Linked DNA regions of Stegostoma tigrinum. The protein of the gene in region 1 purifies or fractionates together with the protein of each later gene. This does not show direct contact. Links are inferred from orthologs where the notes say so. Each region holds a gene or a part of one and is shown on either strand. Other genes may lie near its edges. The genes, in order: polr2f, rpap2, crcp and si:ch211-140b10.6.

Region 1 (7,456 bases):
CAAACTTCTGATGGTTTCTTAAGCTAAAATCAATGCTAAAATAAAAACAAGTTAATGGCCCCTCAATATTTACTCTCCTGGTCATAAATACTAAGTTTTATGCAGGAACAGGAGTAGGTCATTCAGCCCCTTGAGCCTGTTCTGCATGGCCGATCTGTGGCCTAACTCCGTAGACCTGTCTTTTAGCCTGTATCCGTTAATACCTTTGTTAATAAAAATCTAAGATTAAGATCAAGTAACTGATCCAGAGTGCTCCAAACCCCTCTCTCCCGGTGTGTGTAGACGCGTTTCATAACATTTCTCCTGGATAGGCTGAGAATTAGGGTCAGACCATGTCCCCTAGTTCCAGAATCCCCATACACATATTGAGAAAGAAAATTTTCTTGAATATTTGACACATTCTTCATCCAAATCTTTCACTGTATGGCATTCCCAGTCAATGTTTGGAAAATTAGAATCCCCCCATTATTACAACTTTATTATGCTTACAATTACCTGAGATCTCCCTGCATAGTTGTTTCTCAATTTCTCTCTCGCTACTGCGGGCCTCTTGTACAATCCCATCGAAGTGATCTGGATTGTATGGACTGCTCCAAGCACAGCCAACCTATTTTCAAACATTTACTCTTTAGCACCCAGTCTAGCTATTAATTCTCTCAATCAGCAATTGGCTTTGTGTGTCTTTGGGCACCGGACTCACTGTTTTCTGTTCTCTTCCCCGTATCATCCAATCCCATGCCTATCATCAATATAATTACCCAGCTATTTTCAGCTCTGACAAAATGTTAGTGGACTCAAAATATTAACAACATTACTTTTCTCTATACAGATGCTGCAAGACTTGCTGAGTTCCTCCTGTGTTTGGCATTTCTAGCAGCCAGAGTTCTTTGTTTTATTTTGGATCGATATTGGGACCCTAGTTTCTCCCGTTATATATTTATGATTATATGTGGGTTTTCAAGGCACATTTTCAAAGTTTGCAAATGAATCAAACTTGGGCGATTTGCAAATTATGTAAGGGTCATGTGGAACTCCAAAAGGATATCAACAAGTTGGAGGAGTGAGCAGATGTGATATTATTTTTTAAAATTCACTCATGGGACATGGGTGTAACTGATTGGCCAATATTTATAGCCTATCTATAATTTCTATCAAATATAGGTTTGGATTACTTTCTATAAACTCCCCATAAAAGTAGTAACTAAGTCAGTCAGTCCTTCCAGAAGTGACAAGTTGCTGGAAAAACTCAGCAGGTCCAACAGCATCTGTGCAGAGAAAGCAGATGGTGCCAGACTTGTTGAGTTTTTCCAGCAATTTCTGTTGCTGACCTCAAGCATCCACAGTACTTTGGCTTTTGCTTCCCATTCAAGCATGGATCAGAGGGGGAAACCCTGGAGTGTTAATGGAAGGTAGTGGACACAGGAATGTCTCTGGATGTTGTTTACGTGGAATTCCGGAAGGCATTTGAAAGAAGTTTCCACGGGACTTGCAGCAAAACACTGACAGCTCAGAAACCATTTGAGTGGCAGGCAACAGACCGTCAGGATGATGGGTGGGCAATCAAACTGACACGATGTGACAGTGGTGTCCCACAAGGATCTGTGTTTGGGCCTCAATTAATCAGATTTATTAACAACTCAGTTGTGGCATACAAAATCATATATCCAACTTTGCTGGTGATGCAAAGTTAGGCAGCATTGTAATTTTGTGCTATCAACTTCAAAAGGATATTGTTAAATTAAAATGTATGGGCAAAATTGTGGCAGATGGAGTTCAAAAGAAGCAAGGATGAGGTTATCCATTTTTTGGACTCAAAAGAATAGATCATGGTACTTGAGATAATGGGAACTGCAGATGCTGGAGAATCCAAGATAATGAAATGTGAGGCTGGATGAACACAGCAGGCCAAGCAGCATCTCAGGAGCACAAAAGCTGACGTTTCGGGCCTAGACCCTTCATCAGAGAGGGGGATGGGGTGAGGGTTCTGGAATAAATAGGGAGAGAGGGGGAGGCGGACCAAAGATGGAGAGGAGAGTATAGGTGGGGAGGTAGGGAGGAGATAGGTCAGTCCAGGGAAGACGGACAGGTCAAGGAGGTGGGATGAGGTTAGTAGGTAGGAGATGGAGGTGCGGCTTGGGGTGGGAGGAAGGGATGGGTGAGAGGAAGAACAGGTTAGGGAGGCAGAGACAGGTTGGACTGGTTTTGGGATGCAGTGGGGGGTGGGGAAGAGCTGGGCTGGTTGTGTGATGCAGTGGGGGGAGGGGACGAATTGGGCTGGTTTTGGGATGCGGTGGGGGAAGGGGAGATTTTGAAGCTGGTGAAGTCCACATTGATACCATTGGGCTGCAGGGTTCCCAAGCGCAATATGAGTTGCTGTTCCCAACCTTTGGGTGGCATCATTGTGGCACTGCAGGAGGCCCACGATGGACATGTCATCTAAAGAATGGGAGGGGGAGTTGAAATGGTTCGTGACTGGGAGATGCAGTTGTTTATTGCGAACTGAGCGGAGGTGTTCTGCAAAGCGGTCCCCCAGCCTCCGCTTGGTTTCCCCAATGTAGAGGAAGCCGCACCGGGTACAGTGGATGCAGTATACCACATTGGCAGATGTGCAGGTGAACCTCTGCTTAATATGGAAAGTCATCTTGGGGCCTGGGATAGGGGTGAGGGAGGAGGTGTGGGGGCAAGTGTAGCACTTCCTGCGGTTGCAGGGGAAGGTGCCGGGTGTGGTGGGGTTGGAGGGCAGTGTGGAGCGAACAAGGGAGTCATGGAGAGAGTGGTCTCTCCGGAAAGCAGACAGGGGTGGGGATGGAAAAATGTCTTGGGTGGTGGGGTTGGATTGTAGATGGCGGAAGTGTCGGAGGATGATGTGTTGTATCCGGAGGTTGGTGGGGAGGTGTGTGAGAACGAGGGGCATCCTCTTTGGGCGGTTGTGGCGGGGGCGGGGTGCGAGGGATGTGTTGTGGGAAATGCAGGAGACACGGTCGAGGGCGTTCTCGATCACTGTGGGGGGGAAAGTTGCGGTCCTGGAAGAATGTGGACATCTGGGATGTGCGGGAGTGGAATGCCTCATCCTGGGAGCAGATGCGGCAGAGGCGGAGGAATTGGGAACAGGGGATGGAATTTTTGCAGGAGGGTGGGTGGGAGGAGGTGTATTCTCGGTAGCTGTGGGAATCGGTGGGCTTGAAATGGACATCAGTTACAAGCTGGTCGCCTGAGATGGAGACTGAGAGATCCAGGAAGGTGAGGGATGTGCTGGAGATGGCCCAGGTGAACTGAAGGTTGGGGTGGAAGGTGTTGGTGAAGTGGATGAACTGTTCGAGCTCCTCTGGGGAGCAAGAGGCGGAGATCAGGGTACTTTCTGGATTTACCTGTACGCCTACAAAGTAGGTTAAATATAATGGATGGGTTCAGGTGCATGGGTCTTTAAAATATTGTCAACAGGTACAGAAAATAATCAAGCAAGTTAATGGAATGCTGGCCTTTATATTGTGCACACGTGTAGTCTCTAGAAATTATACAAAACCCCAGTTAGAGCCCCACTTGCAGCACAGTGTCTGTGCACCACACCTCAGGAAGGATACCGTGGCCTTAGAGGGAGTACAATGTAGGTTTACAAGAATGGTATCAGAGATAATGGGAACTGCAGATGCTGGAGAATTCCAAGACAATAAAATGTGAGGCTGGATGAACACAGCAGGCCAAGCAGCATCTCAGGAGCACAAAAGCTGACGTTTCGGGCCTAGACCCTTCATCAGAGATGAAGCTCCTGAGATGCTGCTGGGCCTGCTGTGTTCATCCAGCCTCACATTTTATTATCTTACAAGAATGGTACTTGGGCCTCAGGGGTTATGAGGAGAGATTAGATAAATCAGGCCTGTTTTCTCCAGAATTTAAAAGGTGTTCTCATAAAAGTCTTCAAGATCTTAAACAGGAAAAACAGACCCTTCTTCCTAGGCCCGAACCCTCAGCCTTCCTGCTCCTCTGCTGCTGCTGCTGCTGCTGCTTGTCCAGCCCCACACCGGGTTATCTCAGATTCTCCAGCACCGGCAGCTACTGCTGTCTTTAAAGGGATGACCTGTTGCATTTGTGGGAAATGGGTTGGACTTGGCTGAGGCCCATTTCGCAAAGCGTCTGGAAGTTAAACCAAATGGTTTGTGATGCTGCTACAGGCCTGAGGTCCACCCTCCAGAAAAGGCCCCTTAGGGCCACTCAGTACATGCTGGTCAAAAACAACCGCTTAACCGTTGTGCTTCTATATTCCAGCACTTCACATCACAAATTACACCCTTACAGTTGTTAATACGAGATAAATTCACGAGTGTAATCTCTGCCCAGAACAATGTTCATGTGAAAGTATTTACTAGAACTACAGGCAATGAGGGAGAACGCCCCCTGCCAGTATCAAACATGGCGAAGCACTCCGATTGGTATAAGGCGCAGGCGCAGTGACGTCATGTCCAATAACCCTTGATCCGGAAGCACCTTGCTTGACGCCGCTCAGTGTGGACTACCACCGCCATCATGTCGGACAACGAGGACAAGTGAGTGATCGGCGAGAGCCGCTGTTTCCAACACAAGCTGCACACACCGGTGCGGACACAGCCCGTGACCGCAGACAACCGCCAACTCACCCCGGGAGCCGCTGCCGCCCTCCAACGAGGCCTCTTCCGGTCAATTTACCAGACGCCCCGAGAAGTGATCGAGCGAGGCTAACGGACAGCGACTTGACAGGGTCTGCTCACAGTGCCGCCTGCTGCCCGGGCTGAGTCACTGCACCCCCCCACACAGTGCCGCCTGCTGCCCGGGCTGAGTCACTGCACCCCCCCCCACACTGCCGCCTGCTGCCCGGGCTGAGTCACTGCACCCCCCCACACTGCCGCCTGCTGCCCGGGCTGAGTCACTGCACCCCCCCACACAGTGCCGCCTGCTGCCCGGGCTGAGTCACTGCACCCCCCCACACAGTGCCGCCTGCTGCCCGGGCTGAGTCACTGCACCCCCCCCACACAGTGCCGCCTGCTGCCCGGGCTGAGTCACTGCACCACCCCCACACAGTGCCGCCTGCTGCCCGGGCTGAGTCACTGCACCCCCCGTTACAGTGCCGCCCGCTGCCCGGGCTGAGTCACTGCACCACCCCCCCCGTTACAGTGCCGCCTGCTGCCCGGGCTGAGTCACTGCACCCCCCCCTGTTACAGTGCTGCCTGCTGGCAGGGCTGAGTCACTGCACCCCCCCCGTTACAGTGCCGCCCGCTGCCCGGGCTGAGTCACTGCACCACCCCCCCCGTTACAGTGCCGCCTGCTGCCCGGGCTGAGTCACTGCACCCCCCCTGTTACAGTGCCGCCTGCTGCCCGGGCTGAGTCACTGCACCCCCCCGTTACAGTGCCGCCTGCTGCCCGGGCTGAGTCACTGCACCCCCCCCCCGCCCCACAGTGCTCCCCACTGGCCGGGCTGAGTCACTGCACCCCCCTCACAGTGCCGCCCACTGCCCGGGCTGAGTGACTGCACCCCCCGTTACAGTGCCCCCCACTGCCCGGGCTGAGTCACTGCACCCCCCCCGGCCCACAGTGCCCCCACTGCCCGGGCTGAGTCACTGCACCCTCCCCGTTACAGTGCCCCCATTGCCCGGGCTGAGTCACTGCACCCCCCGCCCCACAGTGCCCCCCCTACTGCCGGGGCTGAGTCACTGCACTCCCCACCCCACAGTGCCCCCACTGCCCGGGCTGAGTCACTGCACCCCCCGTTACAGTGCCCCCCACTGCCCGGGCTGAGTCACTGCACCCCCCCGCCCCACAGTGCCCCCACTGCCCGGGCTGAGTCACTGCACCCCCCGCCCCACAGTGCCCCCACTGCCCGGGCTGAGTCACTGCACCCCCCGCCCCACAGTGCCCCCACTGCCCGGGCTGAGTCACTGCACCCCCCACCCCACAGTGCCCCCACTGCCCGGGCTGAGTCACTGCACCCCCCCCACAGTGCCCCCACTGCCCGGGCTGATTCACTGCACCCCCCGCCCCACAAGCCCCCACTGCCCGGGCTGAGTCACTGCACCCCCCCCCCCACAGTGCCCCCACTGCCCGGGCTGAGTCACTGCACCCCCCCCCCACAGTGCCCCCACTGCCCGGGCTGAGTCACTGCACCCCCCCCCCACAGTGCCCCCACTGCCCGGGCTGAGTCACTGCACCACCCCCCCCACAGTGCCCCCACTGCCCGGGCTGAGTCACTGCACCCCCCACCCCACAGTGCCCCCACTGCCTGGGCTGAGTCACTGCACCCCCCCACAGTGCCCCCACTGCCCGGGCTGATTCACTGCACCCCCTGCCCCACAGTGCCCCCACTGCCCGGGCTGAGTCACTGCACCCCCCCCCCCACAGTGCCCCCACTGCCCGGGCTGAGTCACTGCACCCCCCCCACAGTGCCCCCACTGCCCGGGCTGAGTCACTGCACCCCCCCCACAGTGCCGCCCACTGCCCGGGCTGAGATACTAACACACCCCCCGTGCCCGGGCTGGGGGTCCCTGTTCTGTGTGCCAAAGGGCTCCTGCTGTCTCAGCTGTGCCCCTGCACCAAGTGTCCTTCCCTTGCCACTGGTTTTAACTCTCCTGTAGCACCTCCCGCCGTCTCGCTGACTGAGAGCCCGCAGCTTTCTGCCTGGTGCTGCTGGTGGGGCGGTGGTAGCACTGGCTAATGCTTCGGAGCGCTCTTAGGGGACCATGTGGTCTGTGGCTGCTTCTGTTTCTTAAGACGTGTGGATTGGGGCTAATGTTTGATAACTGGAGGCACAGAGGTAAAGCTGGAACGGGTTGGAAAGGCACCACTAAGGGTTTTAAAGTTAATTTTGTGGGGCCTGGTTTAAAAGGGATGTGAAGGATTAGTCCTTAGTTCACAGGTTGCTGATTGAACATTCTCTTGGACAGCCAGAGCTGAGTTGTTGATACTTCTGTTTTGTGCTTCTAATATTTTTCTTTCTTTAATTTTAGTTTTGATGGAGATGATTTCGATGATGCTGATGAAGATGAAGGAATGGATGACCTGGACAATGCGGAGGAGGTGGGCACCTCGAACAACCAATATTCCTCTCTCTATCTGTAGTAAAGCTCTCTCAATTCTCCCCAACATGGGACTTCACTCCTCCCTGCTCTCTAGCTCCACCGCTCCTACAACCCGCCTTGATCGCTGCACACCTCCAGTTCTTGACTTCTGTCATTCTACCAAGACAGTCGTGCTTCCAGCTGCCTGGACTCCAAGCTCAAGAATTCCCTCCCTAAGTCTTTGTCTTCACTTCTCTCTGTCTCTCACCCATTACGATGCTCATTAAAGCCCGTCTGTTTCAGTGAGGCTTTTGCCACACCTTGTCTTTTTCTGAGGGTCAGGTTTTATCAAACAATAGTACACTGAAACCCAATTTATGAAGACTAATTGGATGATCAGATTGTCTGGTGGAGGAGCTGCAGAGCCAGTTTCT
Region 2 (7,840 bases), on another chromosome or scaffold:
AATTTGCTAATATTACTTGTAATGTCTTCATCTATATCATTAATATATATCGTAAACAGCTGTGGTCCCAGCACCGAACCTTGTGGTACCCCACTGGTCACTGCCTGCCATTCCGAAAGGGACCCGTTTATCACTACTCTTTACTTCCTGTCAACCAGCCAATTTTCAATCCAACTCCATATTTTGCCCCCAATACCATGTGCCCTAATGTTGTTCACTAATCTCCTATGCAGGACTTTATCAAAGGCTTTCTGAAATTCCAGGTGCATAACATCCACTGGCTCTCCCTTATCCATCTTCATAGATACATCCTCAAAAAATTCCAAAAGATTAGTCAAGCACGATTTCCCCTTCATAAATCCATGCTGACTCTGACCTATTCTGTTACTGCTATCCAAATGAGTCGTAATTTCATCTTTTATAATTGACTTCAGCATCTTTCTCACCACTGACGTCAGGCTAACCGGTCTGTAATTTCCTGTTTTCTCTCTCCCTCCTTTCTTGAAAAGCGGGACAACTTTTGCCACCCTCCAATCCGCAGGAACTGATCCTGAATCTATAGAACATTGGAAAATAATTACCAACGTGTCCACAATTTCTAGAGCCACCTCCTTAAGTACCCTGGGATGCAGACCATCAGGTCCCGGGGACTTACCAGCCTTCAGACCTAACAGTCTATCCAACACCATTTCCTGCCTAATACAAATACCCTTCAGTTTGTCCATTACCCTCGCTCCTTCAGCCACTACTGCATCTGGGAGATTGCTTGTGTCTTCCCTAGTGAAGACAGATCCAAAGTACCTATTCAACTCATCTGCCATTTCCTTGTTCCCCATAATAAATTCACTGTTTCTGACTTCAAGGGCCCAATTTTAGTCGTAACCTTTTCTTTTTCTTTTCACATACCTAAAAAAGCTTTTACTATCCTCCTTTATATTTTTGGCCAGTTTTCCTTCATAGCTCATTTTTTCCTCTGTGTATTGCCTTTTTAGTTATCCGCTGTTGCTCTTTAAGAGCTTCCCACTCATCTTTTCTATGTTATACTTCTCTTATTTTTATACAGTCCTTAACTTCCCTCGTCAGCCATGGCTGCCCCCGCCTCCCCTTAGGATCTTTCTTCCTCTTTGGTATGAGCTGATCCTGCACCTTCTGCATTATATCCAGAAATACCTGCCATTCTTGTTCCACTGCCATCCCTGATAGGGTATTGTACCACTGAACTTTGGCCAGCTCCTCCCTCATAGCTCCATAGTTCCCTTTATTCAATTGCAATACTGACACTTCCGATTCTCCCTTCTCCCTCTCAAACTGCTGTGTTCATCTAGCTCTACACTTTGTTATACCTGGTGTTCTCTTTCACCTCCAAATCCATTGGTAATCTGTTACATTTCACCACTGCCATTGAAAATAATTAAAATTGCCTTTCCCTACACTAAAACAGTTGGACCAAATCTACTTAGTAAACAAACTGGAAATGGGTTATAGACAGTTTGTCTCAACGACAATACCAATGTTACTTTTTCTTGTTACATCTTGGCTGTAGCTCCCTGGAGTAAATAGAACAACCAAAACAGGAGGGGCAAACATTAACAGGTCTTTCAAAACGAAAACAGAAAATTGCTGAAAAGGCTCAGCAGATCTGGCAGCATTCCTGGAGAGAAATCTAAGTTAATGTTTCAGGTTCAGTGACCCTTCTTCAGAACTGGTAGTAGCTAGGAAACGTTGGTTGTTATGCAGAGGATATGGTGGGGGAAGGGGGTAACGAGTAAAGGATAGGTAGGCAGAATCCAAAAGACAAAAGAACCGACAAACCGACAAAATGAAGGAATAATGATCAGCCTGGGAGAATTCATAGCTATTAGTGGACAATTAGCGGCAAACGATAGACAATCTGCAGTAGCAGACTGTGTGATAACAAGGCCTAACTAGGGGAAGCGCATGGGACGGCGTCTCAAGCCCGAAAATTGTTGAACTCAACATTGAGCCCAGAAGACTGTAGAGTCCTCAAACAGAAGTGAGGGAGTTCTTACAGTTTGCGCCGAGTTGCGCTTTCTAGCATTCGTAGTTGTTTGGTTTTTTTTAAAATTTAGTGCCATTTTTAAAGTTGCACACAAACATACCTGAACAGCCTTGCACCAAATACTATGTGAGACTGGACTAACTAACCCAACCACCACAGGGAACGGGCAGGCAAGAACAGACAGGACAGTTCAGACACTGACTGATGTTACACAGAGACTTGCATATACTTTTGAGATTCCTCTTCCTCCATCTCCCTGCCCTCTTCCATCCCATAAGTCCCTAACAGAATTGACAACGCAACGATTACAAACTTCCGGCCCGCAGTCGGATTCTCTCACCTCTTGAGGGTCCCTTCAATGTCCGAGACTCCCATCTTACTGTTAACACTGACCTCGCTCGAGCCCTCTCGCCGCCGGCTCCTTAAGCGTCTCCCACCCGGGTTTCGCCTCGGCTCCGACGCCATGATGGTACCAACCGAACTTTGACCCCGCCGTTGTGGCCGTTAACCAGCAGAGGCGTGATTATTGCCGGTTCAATATTTAAATCCTCGTTTTTCCGTTCATTCTACTTAAATAATGTCTTCAGTTTTTTTTCTGATCATAGAGGGAGTTTAAATTTTTCGTTCATATTATTTGAAGAATCGCCCTTTTTTCCCCAATGAATAGAGAATGCTGGAGAAACTCAGATCAGGCAGCATCTGCGGAGAGAGAAAAAGTCAACGTTTTGAGTCCAACACGGGTTCTTCGGATTGTTTGGTATTATTCTCAGTCAAAACCTACCTTGGTGTGGGGGTGCCGGTGTTGGACTGGCGTCAGAAGTCAGACGACAACTAGTTTATTTGAAATCATAAGCTTTCGAAGTGTGACGAAGGGGGAAAGCTCCGAAAACCCACACTGATATTGAGTTGTTAATTTCAATTGTCAGAAAACTTTGTGGCACAGTGGTAGTGTCACTTCCTTCTGGGCTAGAAGCTCCAAGTTCAAGTTCCACACTAAGACTCTCTGGATATGGAAAGTGCACTTGTAATGCTAAAAATGATGTGTGGGTGCTGGTGTTGGACTGGGTTAGACAACGTCAGAAATCACAACACCAGGTTATAGTCCAGCGTTGAGTTGGAGGAACACAGCTGGCGAGGCAGCATAAGAGCAGCAGGAAAGTTGACGTTTTGGGTCAGGACCCTTCTTCAGAAATCCCAACCTGAAATGTCAACTTTACTCTTACGCTGTCTGGCCTGCGATGTTCCTCCAGCTCCACACTATTATCTCCGACTCCAGCGTCTGAAAGCTCATGTTTCCAAGTAAACCTGTTGGACTATAAGCAGTTGTTGTGTGAATGCTAAAAAGGTTGATTATACGCCTCTAAATCTTTTCAATGCACCTGAGGTGTAGGTGTAGGAGGGCTGGTGTGGGAGAGAGGGCTTCCATTACGTGGATAATTGGAGCACATTCTGGGGAAAGTGGGGCCTGTACAGTAATGACAAGTTGCACCTGAACTGGAAAGGCACAAATATTCTGGGAGGGAGGTTTGCTTGAGCTAAAGGGGATGGTTTAAACTAGATTGGCAGGGGGTGTGGAACCGGATTTGTAATTCAGAGGATGAAGTAATCAGCCTTCCAACGGACACAGCAAGGAGTGAGGCTGTTAATAAAGAAATGTGGTCAATGGAGCGTAATTGTGGACACAGGGATGGCTTGAAGTGTGTATACTTCAATGCTAGAAGTATCAGAAATAAGGCAGCTGAACTTAGAGCATAGGTCAGTACTTGGAACTACAATGTTATGGCCATTACAGAAACTCGGGCAACTCAGGGAGAGGAATGGTTGTTGGAAATTCCGGGATTTAGATGCTCTAAAAGAAATAGGGAGGGTGGTAAAAGAGTGGCATTGCTAGTCAAGGCTAGTATAGCAGCTACTAAAAGGCAGTTCAAGAATGATATGCGTACAGAGTCAGTTTGGGTTGAGGTCAGGAACCAGAAAGGAGCAGTCACTTTGGGTTTTGTTTTAAAAACAGACCCTTTAATAGTTGCAGAGGAGTGGAGGAGCGGATTGGAAAGGTGCAGAAGTCACAGAGTTGTAGTCATGGGTGACTTCAACTTTCCAAATATTGATTGGAAATATTTTAGTTGTAATAGTTTAGACAGAGTGGATTTTGTTCAGTGCGATCAGGAAGGATTCCTGACACACTATGTAGATAGACCAAATGAGGAGATTTGGTGCTTGGCAATGAATCGGGCCAAGTGTCAGACCTGTTGGTAGGAGAGCATTTTGGCGGAAGTGATCATAGCTCTGTTACGTTTACAATAGTCATGGAAAAGGATATGTACATACAGCAGGGTAAGGTTTATAATTGGGGGGAGCGTAATTATAATTGTGTTAGGCAAGTACAGAGTAACATAAATTGGAAACAGATGCTGTCAGGGAAGAGCAGTATAGAAATGTGGATATTGTTTAAGGAATGCATACTGCGTCTGCTCAATATGTTTGTCCCTAGCAGGCAGGGAAGGTGTGGTTGAGTAGGGAGCCTTGGTTCTCAAGCAAGGTGGAACGACTGGTTAAGAGGAAGAAGGATGCTTATATAAGGTTTAGGAAACAGATCGGAAAAGGCTCCAGAGGGATACAAGCTGGTCAGGAAGGAACTGAAGAAAGGGCTTAGGTGAGCTAAAAGGGGGCATGAGAAAACCTTGGCAGATAGGATCAAGGAAATCCCCAAGGCTTTTTACACATATGTGAGGAATAAGAGAATGTCCAGAGAAAGGGTAGGGCCGATCAAGGATTGTAAAGGGAATTTGTCCGTGGAGCCTAAAGAGATAGAAGAGGTCCTTTAAATGAATACTTTTCTTCAGTATTCACAACTGAGAGAGACCTAGTTGTAGGGGAGTACAGTGTGAAACAGGCTGGTCGGCTGGCGAAGTGGAAAAAAAAACAAAGTTGCTAGAAAAGCTCAGCAGGTCTGGCAGTATCTGTGAAGGAGAAAATAGAGTTAACGTTTCGGGTTTGGTGACCCTTCCTCAGATCTGACGGTGGCTGGGAAAACGTCACTTTATAAACAGAAAATAGGGAGGTGGGTGGGGTTGCGAGTAAACGATAGGATAGAGCCCAAGGAGAGAGAAAGGACAGTTGGACAGACAAAGGAGTTGCTGATGATCAGGCTGGGAGGATGAGTAGTTGTTAATGGGGTTTGTTAGTGACTAACAACAGGGGGTGTGTAGTGGCAGGCAATGTGGTAACAAAGCCTGGTGTGTGGGTTGGGGGGCTGGGACATGGGGGAGTTTAGGCCCTAAAATTATTGAACTCAGTATTGAGTCTAGAGGGCTGTAGGGACCCCAAGGGGAAAATGAGGTGTTATTCATCCAAAGATAGTAGGAACTGCCGATGCTGGAGAATCTGAGATAACACGTGAAGCTGAATGAACACAGCAGGCCAAGCAGCATCAGAGGAGCAGGAAGGCTGACCTTTTGGGTCTAGTCCTTTCTTCAGAAATGGGGGAGGGGAGGGGAGGGGAATCTGAAATAAATAGGGAGATAGGGGAGGCGGATAGAAGATGGATAAAGAAGAAGACAGGGCTCTACATCAGGACTGCTTTGCGGAACACCTACACTCAGTTCGCAACAAACAACTGCACCTCCCAGTCGCGAACCATTTCAACTCCTCCCCCCCCCCCCCCCCCCCCCGCCCCGGCAACTCCTCGGACGACATGTCCATCCTGGGCCTCCTTCATTGCCACAATGACGCCACCCGAAAGATGCAGGAACAGCATCCCATATTTCGCTTGATACCCTTGGGCTGCAGGGTTCCCAATGTGGGCTTCACAAGCTTCAAAATTACCCCTCCCCCGACCACATGCCAAAACCAGCCCAGCTAGTCCCTGCCTCCCTAACCATTCCTCCCACCTCAAGCCCCACCCCCATCTCCTACCCACTAACCTCATCCCATCCCTTGACCTGTCCATCCCCCCTGGACTGACCTGTCCCCTCCCTAACTCCCCACCTACGTTCACCTTCACTGGCTCTAACCCCTCTTCTTTGACCTGTCTGTCTCCTCTCACCTGTCTTCCCTTTATCCATCTTCTATCCACTTCTCCCCTTCTCCCTATTTATTTCAGAATCCCCTTCCCCTCCCCCATTTCTGAAGAAGGGTCCTGACCCGAAACGTCAAACTTTCCTGCTTCTCTGATGCTGCTTGGCCTGCTGTGTTCATCCAGCTTCACACTGTGTAATCTCTGTTGTTCCTCCAACTTGCGTTGGGCTTCACTGGAACACTGTAGCAAGCTGGAGACAGAGATATTGGCCAGGGCACAGAGTAGTGCGTTGAAGTGGCAGGCAACAGGTACTTCAGGGTCTTTTTTGTGAGCAAAACGTAAATTTTCTGCAAAGCGGTTGCCAAGTCTACGCTTCATTTTCCCCAATGTAGAGGAGACCACATTTTGAGCAGCGAATGCAGTAGACTAGATTCTGGGAAGTGCAGGTAAAGTGTTGCTTCACCTGAAAGGTACGTTTGGGCTCTTGGATACTGGGGAGGGAGGAGGTAAGTGGGTAGGTGTTGCACCTTCGCCAGTTGCAGGGGAAGGCGCCGTAGGGTAGGGGGCAGGGTTTGGGGGTGAAGGAAGTGTGGACCAGGGTGTCCCGGAGGGAATGGTCCGTGCGGAAGGCAGACAAGAGAGCGGAGGAGAATATGTATCTGGTGGCATCTTGCTGGAAGTGGTGAAAATGTCATCTGATGATTTTCTGGATATGGATGCTGGTGGGATGGTGGGTGAGGATAAGGGGAACCCTATCACTGTTGCAGGTGGGAAGAGAAGAGGTGAGGGCAAAAGTGTGGGAGATGGGTTGGACCCGATTGAGAGCCCTACCACATAGCCTGCTACTACACACCCGCTATAATAAAATGTGAGGCTGGATGAACACAGCAGGCCAAGCAGCATCTCAGGAGCACAAATGGATTTGTGCTCCTGAGATGCTGCTTGGCCTGCTGTGTTCATCCAGCCTCACATTTTATTATCTTGGAATCTCCAGCATCTGCAGTTCCCATTATCACTACACACCCGCTGTTGTTCGTCAATAACGGTCCCCATAAACAACTACTCACCCTCCCAGCCTGATCGTTAGCAACTCCTTTGTCTATCCAACTGTCTTTCTTGCTCTTTGGGCTCTATCCTTTCGTTTACTCCCTACCCCACCCACCTCCCTATTTTCTGCACATAAACTGACATTTTCCCAGCCACTATCAGTTCTGAGGAAGGGTCACCAGATCCAAAACGTTGACTCTGTTTCCTCCTTCACAGATGCTGCCAGACCTGCTGAGCTTTCCTAGCAACTTTGTTTTTGTTCCTGATTTACAGCATCCGCAGTTCTTTTGGTTTTTATTTGGAGGAGGTGGATGTTAGTAATAAGGATGTACTAGGAATTTTGAGGAACTTGAAGACAGATAAGTCCCACAGGCCTGATGAGACATATCCGAGTATTCTATGGGAAGCAAAGGAAGAGATCACAAGGCCTTTGCCGATGATCTTTTCATCCTCACTGTCCATGGGTATAGTGCTAGAAGATTGGAGAGAGGCAACCGTCATTCCCTTGTTCAAAAAAAGGGAACAGAGATAACCCCAGAAATTATAGGCCAGTTAGTCTTACTTCAGTGATGGGCAAATTATTAGAAAGGGCTCTGAGAGATAGGATTTATGATCACTTGGATAGGCACGGTTTTGATTCGTGATTGTCAGCATGGATTTGTGACGGGTAGATCGTGCTTCACAAACCTTATTGAATTATTTGAAGAGGTGACCAAACATGTTGCTGAAGGTAGAGCAGTGGATGCGGTATACAT
Region 3 (7,546 bases), on another chromosome or scaffold:
GCTGGTTGCCTGAGATGGAGTCTGAGAGGTCCAGGAAGGTGAGGGATGTGTTGGAGATGGCCCAGGTGAACTTGAGGTTGGGGTGGAAGGTGTTGGTGAAGTGGGTGAACTGTTCGAGCTCCTCTGGGGAAGCAAGAGGCGGCGCCGATACAGTTATCAATGTAACGGAGGAAGAGGTGGGGTTTGGGGCCTGCGTAGGTGCGGAAGAGGGACTGTTCCACGTAACCTACAAAGAGGCAGGCATAGCGGGGGCCCATGGCCACCCCCTTTGTCTGTAGGAAGTGGGAGGAATCGAAAGAGAAGTTGTTGACGGTGAGGACGAGTTCGGCTAGGCGGATGAGGGTGTCGGTGGATGGGGACTGGTCGGGCCTGCGGGACAGGAAGAAGCGGAGGGCCTTGAGGCCATCTGCATGCGGAATACAGGTGTATAGGGACTGGACATCTATGGTGAAAATGAGGTGTTGTGGGCCAGGGAATTGGAAGTTCTGGAAGAGGTGGAGAGCGTGGGTGGTGTCACGGATGTAGGCAGGGAGTTCCGGGACCAAAGGGGAGAAAATGGAGTCCAGATAGGTGGCGATGAGTTCAGTGGGACAGGAACAGGCTGAGACAATGGGTCGACCAGGGCAGGCAGGTTTGTGGATTTTGGGAAGAAGACAGAAACGGGCCGTGCGGGGTTGGGGAATAATAAGGTTGGAGGCTGTGGGTGGGAGGTCCCCTGAGGTGATGATGTCATGAATGGTGTTGGAGATGATGGTTTGGTGCTCGGGGGTGGGGTCATGATCGAGGGGGCGGTAAGAGGTGGTGTCGGAGAGTTGGCGTTTGGCCTCGGCGATGTAGAGGTCAGTGCGCCGTACTACCACTGTGCCACCCTTGTCTGTGGGTTTGATGGTGAGGTTGGGGTGGGAGCGGAGGGCTGCCCGTTCTGCGGGGGAGAGGTTGGAGTGGGTGAGAGGGGTGGAGAGGTTGAGGCGGTTAATGTCTCGGAGGCAGTTGGAGATGAAGAGGTCGAGGGAGGGTAGGAGGCCTGGGGGTGGTGTCCAGGAGGACAACTTGTGTTGGAGGCGGGTGAAGGGGTCAGTGGAGGGAGGGTTAGGCTCCCGGTTGAAGAAGTAAGCGTGGAGGTGAAGACGGCGGAAAAACTGCTCTATGTCCAAACGTGACTGGTATTTGTTGATGTGTGGTTGTGGGGGGACAAAGGTGAGCCCCTTGCTTAGGAATGACCGTTCATCCTAGTCAGTGGGAGGTCTACAGGGATGGTGAAGACTCAGCAGGGCTCTGTGTGGCTGTCTACTCTGGGGTTCCCGGCTGTTGAGGTTGTGGGCGGAGCGATGAGATCGTCAGCTGTGGGCGGGGTTCCGTCGGCATCAGCCATGGGCTGGGTTCCGTCGGCAGTGGGAGGAACAGGGTGGGCGGCGGCAGCAGCGGTGAGGGTGGTGTGTGGTGTTACAACTGGAAGTGGAGGTGGTGACTGCCGCAGCAGTCGCATCTGCGGTCCCAGAAGTGGTGTGCCCAGCGGTGGCAGATGTGTCGTCATCGGTGGGGTCTCCGGCCATGTCCTCATGGTCAATGGTGGCGGGTGCTTGGTGGGGGAGGGGCAGGGACTGGCTCGGGATTTGGGAGGTGCAGGAATCCTTTTCAAGGTGCCAGGAGCCAATGAGTTTGTAGTACTTACGATTTTTGGAGTCCAGTAAAGCTGAGTAGAACTGGTGTTCAGTCTGTGGATCCTGTGGAGGATAAAAAACAGGAGAGGTCCTTTGCTGGTCTGGGAGAGGGAGGCTCTGAGCTGGGGCAGGCTGGATTGCAATGCCTGGAGGTGCCGACGCAGGACTCGCAGGGAGAAACGCTTCTGAAGGGTCTGAATGCTCTGGGTGTAGAGGTGGTCACGGTTGGGGCAAAATTGGGAAGGCTTGAATGTAGACTGTGGTCCATTGGGGATGATCCAGTTCCGTAGGCAGGTGCTGAGGAAGGTGATGTGGCTGTGGTACCTGGTTTGCTTCACGACATGGTCGAGCAGTTTCAAGGATGAAGAGATTGCAAGAGAGTTGCAGTGGGAGAGAGATTCCCTGAGGTTGGTCCGGAGGGAGGAGGGTAACTTCTTCAGGTTAGGCATCCCTGGAAGAGGCCTCGCAGTGAGGTTAAAATTGTATCAGAGATAATGGGAACTGTAGATGCTGGAGAATCCAAGATAACAAAGTGTGGAGCTGGGTGAACACAGCAGGCTAAGCAGCATCTCAGGAGCACAAATGCTGACGTTTCGGGCCTAGACCCTTCATCAGAGAGAAGTCTGTTGAGGTGTTCGTGTATGAGAAACTGCCATGGGCATCCCAGTTGCATTAATCTCAACTTCTACCATAAGAAGTGCACTCAGTTAGTTTAGTCAAGAGAAAAGTGTGCTACGTCAGCAGTACTGGCACACCTTGTTGATCCTTACTGTGGTTGTGATTACGGAAAAGGATTCAATGTAATGAAATAATTAATGTCACATCCACAATTCTAACTATTGATGGCTTTAAGATTCACAAATAACGAAAGGGGGGGTGGACACATTTGAAATAGAACAGTTTGAGAACTGTCATGCAGGCAGTGGGGAAACAGAGGAAACATTATGCCTTGTGCACTTCCTAAATTTGCTCATTCACTTTGGAAAAAGTGAGTTTAGGTCATTGGACCTCCAGTTTGAAGGGATCTAACAGAAAATTGGCTGAACAGATGGGCCTAGCTCCCTTTCCATCCTGCTTGCTGTGTTGACGGCTCAGCCAGACCCGTGGAGCACCTCACAAGGGTTAGATTACCCTGGTCCTTCTTAACACCGAAGGCAGTACCTCTCCTCCAATTCTCCTTCATCAAGATCCCATCTGATAGGAGGGTTATTCTTTTAAGGGTGCAACATACCACTCCAATTCAAGAATCCTTGAGTGACTGTACTGGAAAACATCCCCTAATCTGTCTACCAGAACCAAATCTTGAGGACTACAGTGCCTGCTCTATGGTGGCCCTGGTATGGCGACAGGAGGCTGCTGAAGCATTTCTGTGCCTCAACTGGTTTCATAATAGTTGTTAGCAGATATCTATTTAATGGATTGCTGCTGGAGAAATGAGGCTCTCTGCCTGATTAAGTGATTCTTCAACCAAAGTGGACTATAGGATTCAGGAAGCCCAGTTGTGTTGGTATACCAAATCGGGACATCACCTTGGCTCCCTCCCTGCCTTGTGCACAACCGCTCGATATGCCTTAGGACTAAAGGCTCATAATTAGTGCAAAAATAGCTGCTCATTATTGTTGTTTATCTCCAAATCTAAGCTGCTCAGCTCAATATCCAAAGATGGCTTTTCCTTCCTTCAGAAGGCTGATCATAGCTGCCCCCGAAGCGCACTAACCCTTGTTTGGTCGCTCCCCCCCCAATAACACTATGAGGCTGCATACTCTATAGCCACTCCACCTCACTAACCATTCCACCTTTTGTGCTAATCTCCTACTTCCCCACACACTCCTATAACATTGAACAAAACTTTTTAAAAATCACATCTGAAGTGGGGCTTGAACCCAAGGTTTCTGCCCAGATGCAGGAACGCTAGCACGGCATGACAGAGCACCCATATATTTGCACAGATTTTCTAATCTGCCAGTTAAGAGACGTGACTGTACACTTCTGCGGCAGGGGAGACTTCAACCTAGGCCTCCTCACTCGAGCCCACATCACATCCTGTAAAATGTTATTTTCTCGTTAAATTACTTTTGATAGAGACTTTAACCAACCTACCTAGATGTGTTATGATAGCCCTGGTACTGAGGCAGCACCTGTCTGCAGCAGGTAAGATTTGAATACAGGTCTTTAGGTCCATAGGCAGAGGCATTACTACTGCACTACAAGTCTCTCAATTATACTTTTACACAATATTTTTCTAAACAACCTGTTCAGATACATTATTACACATCTGTGGAGCAGGGAAACTTGAACCTGGGACCAATAGTCCAGCAACAGGGACACATATCTTTACAGGTCCAGAGGTGCCATCACACACACACACAAACAAACACCACCAAATTACCATAACTTTCTTTTTTACCCTGCACCTTGTTTATACCCAGAAGTGCTATCTCACACAACTAAGTGACCTTCCCACTACTAAAATCACCATGACTGCTTTTTTTTAAAAAACTTACCAACAACCACCACCAGTAAAGTAAAACACCCGTTTTAGATATTAGATGCTTACAAGCAAAGGCCATTACTGGCGATGCAAACCATCTAAACGGGGGGGAGGTGGATGGGGAAGGGACTAAATCAAACTGGAGTTGCTGGAAGAAATGAAGAAGTGTATACCCTGCGGCGCCCACCTCTCTATAACGTCATGGAGTACACTGAAGAGACACCCAGCCATGAACCATATTCTTACACATTATTTCTATCCATCTGGTTCGAATACCTCAGTTGAAGCAGTTCCCCGGCCCAGAACCAGCTCCCGCTCAAGGCCGCGGCTGGGATTCATGACCGGAAATCACGTGGGCCTGTGCGGCCAGTTTCTTCCTCCGGTGAGAGGTCGGAACCAAACTGCGGTGGCAGAGCGGCTGTCAGGGCCCGAGAGCGGAAGCAGGATGGAGGTGTAAGTTCTCTTCAAATGTTTGCTCCAGTTTTTAGATCAACGTTGCCTCATCAAAGTCACTAGCAGCGTTTAAACGGAGTCGGGTGTCCGGCACGGGGAGAAAAACAGAAACTACGGCTCTCTTCATAGCTTTTCAGTCTGTCTTTTGGATTTTTCGCTGATTTTAGAAAACCCGCCTTCAGTCTTTTTCAACACTTTTCTTTCACAACAGACAAAACTCGTTCTTTTTGGTTGTCCTGTGTATTTTGTGCAAATAGCCCGATTTTTGTTTTGGTGTGAGTCTCTTATGTCTGCTGAATGAATAATTCATTTATGCAGCTCGGGAAGTTTGGCCAAGCAGTGATGGTTTGTGAGGTTATGAATTGTGCGGCAATTAAGAACGAAACATAGGATAAGTCTGGTTGGACTCAGTACCTGTGTCTTTTATTTTGGTCCAGTATGTTCAACGTGTGGCAGACCATGCGTGTGGTTGAAGGGACAAGCAATGTCAGTATCGCAACACGTTAGAGCAGAAAGAGCAGGGGCCGCAGAGGAGAGATGGTGCAGCAGGAGGTGTTGAAAATAGAGACTTTAGAGCAGCTGTCAATGTGAGAGTTTGGAACAGGGAGTGTGATGAGACTTTCAATTGCAATGTTCTCCGTATAAATAATTTACTTTGTCTCGCATAATTGTGGGAGGGAGGCAAGGGCTTGGGGAACGGGGAGCTGGGTGGTGGCGGGTATCTGTCGACGATACGTTGATCTGATTGACCATATTATATGGGAGTAAAACTCCGTTAATTTGAATATCCTCATCATGACCTGCTTATGTCTCCCAACGTTCTCACATCAATGTTCTGTAGTAATCGCAGTATTAGTGATAGTCACTCACTTCCCACATGTTTTTCTTAGCTCCCTTTTTTAAAAGAAAGCATGATTTTTGTATCTGTCAGCTACTTCCGTTTTCTCCACCGCTTTGTCCATGGCCGTTTTTCTTGATTTGTGTCTGTCCACGTGAGGAATAATGTAGAAATGCAAGTTATGTACTGTGTGTGGATGCATTTAAGGGGTTTCTCAGATAGCAGAACGAAAGCTTAGAATAGAATCACTACCGCGTGGAAACAAGTCATTCGGCCCACAGAGTCCGCACCGACTCTCCCGAGAGCATCTGAGATGATGGGAACTGCAGATTCTGAAGAATCCGAGATAACGAAGTGTGGAGCTGGATGAACACAGGCCAAGCAACATCTGAGGAGCATAAAAGCTGACGTTTCGGGTCTAGACCCTTCTTCAGCTGCACACTTTGTTCTCCCGAGAGCATCCTCCTACCTTATCCCTTTAACCCTGTATTTCAGCACGGCCAAGCCATCTAACCTGCACAACTTTGGACTGTGGGGACGAAATCTTCGCAGACACGTGGAAATCATGTGAACTCCACATAGACAGTTTCCCAGAGCTGGAATTGAACTTGGATTCCTAGTGCTGTGAGGCAGCGGTGCGGATCATAGCCATCGTGCCGCCTCCTGTTCTTAAATTATATCGGGGATAAGTGCACATGAAAAATTCATTTTTTTTGAGGGAAGAGACAATCTTACAGCTGTCTTGTGGAGCTAAAAGTGAAGAACATCGGGGGACTGATGGTTTGCAACGCGATATTTTTTTAAAAACTCCAATGTTTGATCCCATTTATGATTCTATTGATAAATTAGACTTCTCATGTTTATAAAGTAAGTTCATATATAATTGTATTGGGAATTGATTACTGAGTAACTGTAAACTGCACCAATTTCAATTGTGACAATCGGGTTTTCTACCCTTTTATACACAATATATTTTTGACAAGTGCATCAATAACCAGCTGACAGTTATACACTGTCCTGATTATTGACTTATCCAGTATAAAATTTTAAAATGTCTTGTAGAAAATCCTCTGTTTGAACATCAATTTCCACCGAAACATTTCAAATCTGTTGTGGATGAACAGTCTGGGCGATTCTCCCTGAAGTGTCAAGGCTGAGGGGTCACCTTTTATAGAAGTTTAATAAATCATGAGCACTGATAGGGTGATTAGTCTTTTCCTCGGGGTAGTGGGGTCTAAAAGTAGAGGGCATAGGTTTAAGGTGAGAGGGGACAGATTTAAAAGGGACTTAAGGGACAACTTTTTAATGTAGAAGATGCTGCATTTATGGAATGAACTGCCGGAGGAAGTGGTGGAGGCTGGTACAATTACAACATTTAAAAGACATCTGGATGGGTATATAAATAGGAAGGGCTTAGCGGAACATGGACCAAATGCTGGCAAATGGTGCCAGTTTTATTTGGGATATCTGGTTTGTATGGACAATTTGGATTGAAGGGTCTGTTCCTGTGCTCTACAACTCTATGACTCTATACTATAGCATTTAGTACAAGCACTAAAGTGAACATTTGTGAATAAATTAACTTTTATTATTTATACCGTACAACAAAACAATCCCCTTTTTAAATACAAGATGCTAAAATTAAAGAGCAGAGAATTGAAATCTTTTATCGTAGTTTGGCTTCCACTAGTTAATGCCACCCCTTGTATTGAATGTTGACGGAAGAGTAATAGGAGCTTGCAATTCTTTATAGTGCTTTAATATCAAAATAAGCTCTAACAAATTTAGGTGGTGTAATAAAACAAAAATGAATGTTAAACTGAAGGAGATTTTAAAAGGATTGTTAGTGGGTCAAATTGAAAGAAAAAGAAAGAGAAAGAGGCATAGTTTAGGGAGGGAATTCCAGAACATGATGACTGGACAATTGAAATACATGGTTACTGATGTTTTACCAAGAGAATTGGGAGTGACTACACAAGTAGCCATTTCAGGGAGGTATCATATTATCAGAATTGATTCTGACATTGAGAGGTAAGGCCATGTAGGGATCTGAATATGAGAAGATTTTTAAACTTGAGGCTTTGGGAGCCAATGTAAAGTCAA
Region 4 (7,493 bases), on another chromosome or scaffold:
GGAAAGAGGAGAGTGATATGGTGATAAAGACTAAAGCGTGCAAACAAGACATGCACATTGTATTCCCTGTCTGGCATGTGCCTCAAAGCTGTAGCCTCATCATTTCCAACTGTTAAACCTGGATAATAGTGGATCATACACTCCAAACAACTTAATTTGTTAATCCATTTCCTTATACTGATGCCACATCTTTAAGTGTTTTTTACCCTAAATTTATTACTGACTTTAGTTAGGTTGTTGCTAAGCATGCATTTGTAGTAAAGTTCAAGATTGCTAGAAATCAGTTTTAATTTTTGTCATGAATTTTAAACTGAGCTGTCCACGTTGCGTCCTGACTGATTCAAAAGCCCTCCTACAGGCTGTTCTGCTCCACTTCACTCTGGTGTTTCTCTGCTTTGGCCACACATTAACTGTAATTAGTGTCAGAGCAACCTCATGTTGACTCTGCAATGTAAATGCAGCCTCCATGTGGGTTAAGCACTGAACAGCAAATGGTATCTGGGTTCTAATATAAGACATAAGATATCAAGGCATCTAACATGGAGCAGTGAAGACAGATGTGTGGCAAGATACTTTTATGTTTTAAATTCCCTTCTTGCAAGGGAATTTAAACTTAAATGAAACAACTGCACTGTTGTAAAGTAAAACACCTGATGCACTAATGTTCTCTTGGGAAAGAGATCAACCTTAAACATTCAGGCTTACGTGTGAATCCAAATACACTGCAATGTAATTGACTTTTAGCAGACGTCTGAAAGTGACTAGCAAACTACTCAGGTGTACTCAAAAAAAGGTAGTTAACCACTAGCTTTTCAAGGGTAATTTGGAATGGGGAATAGCACTTCAGATTATAGCATTGACACATGGTTACCATGCTCTTTTGAACTAATTAATCCTTGTCTTAAAATTGGAAAATCTGCTGTGTACTGCAATCTTTCCATTTGGATTACTAAAATGACATAAAAACTGAAGAAAAAAAATCAACACCAACACAGACAGTCATGTTATCACATGAATGTATCATCTAATGGAGTTAATGGAAATGAACAAAGTAGACTTTGAAATTCAAAAAAATCTCAAGACAGGCCTTGAAAAGAACTGAAACAGATGTATGCAGATAATACAGCCCAGGGTGGCCAGATTGGTGCGATTTGCTGAGTTCCTTGCTGTGGTGTTGACCACCCCACAAATCTTGGGCATATTACACCTCGAGAGGTCTTCTAACCAACTTGTTCAGAGGTTCAGAGACCTCGAACCGAGGTCTCCTGGGCAGAGATATTGCACAACAGTTATGTCCCTAAGAACACCAAAATGTAAATACTGCCAACCTCAAGTTGCCCAGCCTTGGAGTAGACCAGGGGTGGCACATTACGTAAACAATAAAAACTGCAAATGGTCAAGCAAATACATGTTACTTGGACAATGTCATAGTGGGCCTTACATCCCACATGAAATTAAGTAATTACTATGTTCTGAAGAAGGGTCACTGGACTCAAAACATTGCTTTCACTCCACAAATGCCACCAAATCAGTTGAGTCTCTCCAGCTCTTTTGTTTTTCTTTGCTTCAAATCTCCAGCATTCACAGTTCTTTGTTTCATTTCAGTTGCTATGTTAGGTGCTACAAGTGCAACAAATTCAGTTTAACTCTGAATAGACATTCCAAAAAAAATGCAATTAGGATACCTGTAGTGTTATTCCACGTGCTGATTTGATTTTCAAAATTATATGAGCAGTAACTGAAGGATCGTGATAAGCATAGTGCTGTTCATACAGTATGTTCCAGTTGCGAGGCTAGCGACATGGTAACGTCATTGATGGTAAAGTTGATTCAGAGATAGTAGGAATTGCTGATGCTGGACAATCTGAGATTACAAGGTGTAGAGCTGGATGAACACAGCAGGCCAGGCAGCGTTGGAGGTGCAAGGAAGCTAACGTTTCGGGTGTGGACCCTTCTTCAGAAAATGAAACGTCAGCTTTCTTGCTTATCTGATGTTGCTTGGCCTGCTGTGTTCATCCAGCTCTACACCTTGTTATCATGGATGGTAACGTGCCAGGTTTCTGAACCCTAGCATATTCTCTGGCATGTATAGTCAGAGGGCAGCCTGAATTTTATGTCGGCACTAGCTGACCCATAACCCTTGCTGAGGTTGTGGGCGGGAGGGGAATGGCCATGACATGCCAGATTTGCGAGGCGGAACACGTCACACCGGGCTGGTATGTTTTTTACAGATATACACATTCTGTATACAGAGTTGGGAATACGCTACGCCCGAGGAGGCCTGCAACAAACGCGATATCGAACAGGTAACCAGAAAGGTTTCTGATGAAGGGTCTATGCCCGAAACGTCAGTTTTTGCGCTCCCAAGCTGCTGCTTGGCCTGCTGTGTTCATCCAGCTCTACACTTTGTTATCTCAGATTATCCAGCATCTTCAGTTCCCATTATCTCTTACACAAAATTTGAATCGGGTTTGTTTAGAGTCGGTTGCCAAGACACCGCACACAGGACAGGGCCAGTAAGCCCCTGTGCTGCTGATAATGACATTAACATAGTCTCTGGCTGAAGTCATTAGATATTGTTTACCTCTCGAGTTCGCCATCTTTCTCCATGACAACTTCTCGCGCGACTCTAACACTGCTCTGAAGCTCGCGACTTCTTCGGTTTCTTTTGAAAGCCGCGTCTCGGAGCGAGCCGCCGCGGAGACCGCGAAAGCCCAGCTTTTCCCCGCCCCTCCACTGTCCGCAGCAGGATGGCCTATCTCAGCCGCCTGATCATACGTGCTCCGAAAGAAACAGCTGACTGAAACATGGTCGTTGTGAATAATGACGGGAAATAACATTCACTTCCTCCAGGAAATTATTTTTGTCTCTTCATTTCTGTCTCCCCTTCGTAAATACAAACCACCTACAGCTCTCCCCATTCGTGCAGGCAACGTTAAGAGACAGAAAGGTTTCCTCAGGTCGGCTTCACACTAACTTGCTGCAATTTTGGGGGTACAGGAGGGGAAGCGGTGACATTGTCGTGCGCTTTGATTGGTTTGCCTTTCACGCCTGCCTTCGTCGGTGGGCAGATCTTTGTGGCATCTCGAATTGTAATTGGATGTCTGTCCTGTCAATGTGGCTCCCCGACTAAGCAAGTTTATTTGACTGGTAATCTTCTGTACAAATCTTGAACACTAAAACCGAAGTTCTCGCAGTGAATGTTCACCAATCGCCTTGAAACATTCAGTTACTTGCACGATTTCTTGGAATTGTATGGCGCTGTATGGTTAGTGTTTGCTGTCTGCACCACGAAAGGTAAAGTAAACGTAAAGGAAAACCCATTTGATATTTATTTCGCAGTTATTGGTATCTTGACGACGAAGAATCTTGGAGGGAGTGTGTGAGAGAAATGCAGGCGCCTCCTACCCCTCCCAACTCAGTCTTTTTAACGTGAAATCTTCCTACTCCGGTGATTGATTTATTTTTCCCATACCGCTTCGCTGGTATAAATCAGAGTCTGCAGGAGAACGTTTTTGATGTGACCGTTATCTGGGAAGCTGCTGGATTGAGATGTGGGGAGAGCCGCTTGTTGCATAGATTGCTGAGGCTGCTTTGATATTTGACTTCGTGCATTTTAGACGTCTCGCCATGCTTTCAGGAGTGTTTGTTATTGCGCTCAGAAGGGAGACGTATGTGTATATTTATATATATCTATATGTGCTTGTTTATGGACAACATAAAACCTGCCACTCTGAGAGCACTAACAAACAGATGTTTAATTGATTCTGTCCACCACCTGCCCGTTTTCCAGTATCCGCAGTAATTTGTTTTTGTAAAGGCGAATAATACGTTGATATTTAACAATGAAATTTCATTTCACCGCTGTAATATTGATGTACTTCTCGTTAATCTATTAATTTGTTCAGTCGTTCAGGTCGTTTTGTCCATGCATCAAGTATTGACTCAAGTTTCTATTTAACCTTGCAAATATTTGAAGTAGAAGTGGTCAGTTTAGAAAACGTTCTTGCGTTGGTAAAGTGTAGAGCTCACTTGTTTTGTGATTTACTTATATTTTTATGACATCTCAACAGCAATCATTTTAAATTAATGGAAAAGCCTAAGATAAGCAGTTTTTATTTAAAACAATTTTAATCGTATGTTTTTTACGTCTTTCGAATTGAACGATTTTACTATTGATTTTTAAATACTGCCATATTGTGTTTTTTTAATAAAAAGTCATTTTTACAATCACTTAATAATTCTGGATTGAGTTTTGTTTGTGTACTTTTAGCAAAGAAAAATATCTGAATGTTTTGAATATGTTTATTTTAATTTGAAATGTTAACACTTTGCGCACCAAAAATTTCATTTAAGGGGTACTTGTGAGGATGTTAATTTATATATTCATTTTTGTACTTAGAATTGCTTTGTTCAGCAGTAACAAAATTGATCAGTGAAACCCCCTGTTATTCTGTACTGTGATGTACATATAGCTACTAGAAATCCTTGCAATTTTTGTAAATAAGAAACAAGAGATATATATCATTGTTGGATCAGTGGGATCAGATTTGTCTGGAACAAGGAATTTGCAGTCTCCCCCATTAGCTTGATTTGCAATTGCAAGTTTAGTTTTTTTGCCGTCAAATTACTGGAAGTGCCAGCTGATAATAGTCCAGTGAGATCAAAAAGATAATGATACCTTGCTGAACACTGGGACAATTTATGCACCTCTTTAATTTATGAAAGTAAATGACTGAAATAAATACTGATTTGATGTCATCTGGTTTCCATAAGTTAGCAATAATAGCCCAGATCTCCTGGTCTTCATTTACTTATTTTCTGGAGTAAGCCCAGTCTGTATGTTATTGAATTCTTTAGAAGTCCCAGTGGAAGGACTCCACCGGACTTGATGAATCTGAACTTTTGGTCTGCAATGCCTTGTTTCTGGGGCCCTCCGAAAATGTTTCCAATTCTCAGGTATAGTAGGAGACTTTTTGGATCATATACATCTATTTGCTGAACACTTACCCAGGAAATGTTGGAACAGGACAAAATCTGGTCTCACTCCTGGGTAGCTATCCAACTGTCTCCCCAACCTTACCTCCCAGCCACTTACACTGATTTCCCCCCAGTTACCCCTGCAACTGTACAAGCTTTCCTCCTGACACTCCAATTACCCTGCCTAATCCTCAAATCACCCTGACTCATGCCCAACTGACCCAATCCATTTGTTGCCAACCTGACTACCTTCATACCATCTTGCCCACTGTTCCAAGCTATCCACTGCATTCATGTGCTACCGTAACCATTCCTCAACCATTTGTCTCACCTACCATACATCCACAGTAAACCTATCCCCTTAACCACCTGACCGACCACCCTTACACTACAATTTTACCCCACCCACACTCACCCTCTTTCACACTTACCTTTCTTTCTGTGCTCTTCAGGGAAAGGTTGGAAAAGTTAGCTTTGCAGAACACAGCTACTGTGCATGTCTTATCTTGACAATCCAATGCTACATTTAAAGCAGTTCCATTTCAGACACATTCCAAATTTCTGTAGAATCTTGAAACAGAAGCAGGGCCAGAAAAGTGGAGCTCTGGCAAGTTGGAGAAAATTATGAGTGGAGTGACAATATAACAGCACTTGCCAATCCTCAAAAGACTCAGGCCGATTACACTTTAGATTCAAGAATGCTTCAACTTTATTGCATTTTTTCTTCTTTCAGCTCCCCATATGGTTGTAGACTGACAGACTGATACATTGTTACTCAGCACATGACTGTAATGTGACTGAATGCAGCGCCTTTAGATATATATTTATATAACAAGTTCTTTATGAATAATCTAAATGCATATCCTCCCTCTTCCTCGAAAGACTCTAAGCAAATATAACAATCCCAACAATTAACACTTTTTCTATTAACTACAGTAGTTTGATAATTAACTTTTATAAATAAATTGAACATACAAGAATATTTTATTGCTCAGTTTATACTGTCTGAAAAGGATTATTTGTGACTTTATTATGGCTTTGGTGATGGAATGTTGTGTGTCCATCTTGTGGTTTCACATTCATTGTTTTCAGTAAAGAATGGCCATGCATTATTGTTTTTGTTACTCCTGTTGTGTAGTAATTGTACTCTATGTTACTGATATTGTGTCAGTTGCTGGCATTGTTGATGAAGTTTTCTGCATTTCCAGGTCAGGATTCTGGAGTTTCATGTTGGGATTCTATATATGTACAGTTTTCCCTTGCAATTACTTAGGCATAGATGTAACATTTTTGTTGAAGTAATGGCCTCCTCCTACCTGTGATTAAGTGAATTGACCAAGTGACCAGGAAGAAGTCCTGTACTTTCTTTCGTTCAATTACTCTAGAAGTAATTTTGTGAAAACTTCTTGAGTTATAGATCAGTGTGATAATAAGTGTGTTGGTGTCTTCCTTTGTTTCTTGAAGGTTCCAGTACCCACCTGGACATGTTTATTGGTAAATCTTTGTCCTGTTTGGAAATGTGGTACTGATGTTGAAGTTTGTGTAATACTGTTGGTAGTTTTTAAATGTTCTGTTTATCACATCCTTCATAATAGACTCCCATTATTTTTCCTACAACTAATGTTAGGCTAAATTCCACTTTTCTCCCTTCCTCCTTTTCAAAATATTGGGGTTACATTTGCCATCCTCCAATTTTCTGGGACCTAATTAGAATCTGTAAATTATTAGCAGATAACAACCAACATATCTGCTATTTCAGTGGCCAACTCCTTTAGTACCCTGAAATGTAGATTATCAGGCCCTGAGGAGTTTTCAACTAGCAGTCCCATTAATTCTTCTTGAAATATTTTCCTTCATGGTAATTTTTGTCAATTATTCATACCCAAAGGACCCTTCTTTCCCTAGCACTTCTGGGAAGTTTTATTTTCTTGTCTTGTATGAAGACAGAACAGAAGTTGTGGCTTAATTGCTCTATCGTTTCTTCTACTCCATGACCAAATCTCCCATTTCAGATTGTGAGTTTGTCTTCATTTGTCTTCACTAACCTTTAACCTTTTTCATTTTACACGCTTACAGAAGCTTTTACAATCCACTTTTATGTTCCTTACTCTCATGCTCTATTTATCCCTCTTAATCAAACTTTTAGTCTTCCTTTGATGAATTCTAAACTGCTCCCAGTCCTTGGGCTTGCTACTTTTTATCAGGAACTTCATATGACTCCATTTGGATATAATGCTACCCTTAATTTCATTTGTTAAGCGTGGTTGGGACACTTTGCCTGTTGCATTCTTTTACCCAGAACGAATGTATAACTGGTACAATGCATGCATTCATTCCTTAAATATTAGCCACAGCCTGTCCACCGCCATGCCTTTTAATTAGGTTACCCAGTCTGTCACAGCCAATTTACTCTGCATATCTTTGTAGCTGAGAACTATAAATTTGGATTGGATTACTTCACTTGCTATTCCACTGAAGAATTCTATCACGTTATGTCACATTTTCTTCTAACC

Evidence for each region.
Region 2: the proteins of polr2f (region 1) and rpap2 purify together in Homo sapiens (affinity purification with mass spectrometry; 4 studies listed by BioGRID and IntAct, with this or other methods). This does not show direct contact. The link is inferred for Stegostoma tigrinum from reciprocal best matches to the Homo sapiens genes POLR2F and RPAP2.
Region 3: the proteins of polr2f (region 1) and crcp purify together in Homo sapiens (affinity purification with mass spectrometry; 5 studies listed by BioGRID and IntAct, with this or other methods). This does not show direct contact. The link is inferred for Stegostoma tigrinum from reciprocal best matches to the Homo sapiens genes POLR2F and CRCP.
Region 4: the proteins of polr2f (region 1) and si:ch211-140b10.6 purify together in Homo sapiens (affinity purification with mass spectrometry; 4 studies listed by BioGRID and IntAct, with this or other methods). This does not show direct contact. The link is inferred for Stegostoma tigrinum from reciprocal best matches to the Homo sapiens genes POLR2F and POLR1D.

What each region holds. Positions count from the first base shown.
Region 1 is NC_081391.1:23,912,423-23,919,878, reverse strand, and holds the start of polr2f (DNA-directed RNA polymerases I, II, and III subunit RPABC2), read left to right. Parts: upstream 1-4,450; 5' UTR 4,451-4,521; coding exon 4,522-4,541; intron 4,542-6,971; coding exon 6,972-7,041; intron 7,042-7,456. UniProt on the Homo sapiens protein: DNA-dependent RNA polymerase catalyzes the transcription of DNA into RNA using the four ribonucleoside triphosphates as substrates.
Region 2 is NC_081361.1:86,500,872-86,508,711, forward strand, and holds the start of rpap2 (putative RNA polymerase II subunit B1 CTD phosphatase rpap2), read right to left. Parts: upstream 3,009-7,840; 5' UTR 2,802-3,008; exon of another isoform or gene 2,720-2,801; 5' UTR 2,486-2,719; coding exon 2,361-2,485; intron 1-2,360.
Region 3 is NC_081380.1:23,486,362-23,493,907, reverse strand, and holds the start of crcp (DNA-directed RNA polymerase III subunit RPC9), read left to right. Parts: upstream 1-4,535; 5' UTR 4,536-4,597; coding exon 4,598-4,605; intron 4,606-7,546. Other genes in the region: uncharacterized protein LOC132211035, read right to left, coding at 1,265-1,724, 4,399-4,415. UniProt on the Homo sapiens protein: DNA-dependent RNA polymerase catalyzes the transcription of DNA into RNA using the four ribonucleoside triphosphates as substrates.
Region 4 is NC_081359.1:78,384,558-78,392,050, reverse strand, and holds the start of si:ch211-140b10.6 (protein POLR1D-like), read right to left. Parts: upstream 3,018-7,493; 5' UTR 2,611-3,017; coding exon 2,585-2,610; intron 2,307-2,584; exon of another isoform or gene 2,170-2,306; intron 1-2,169.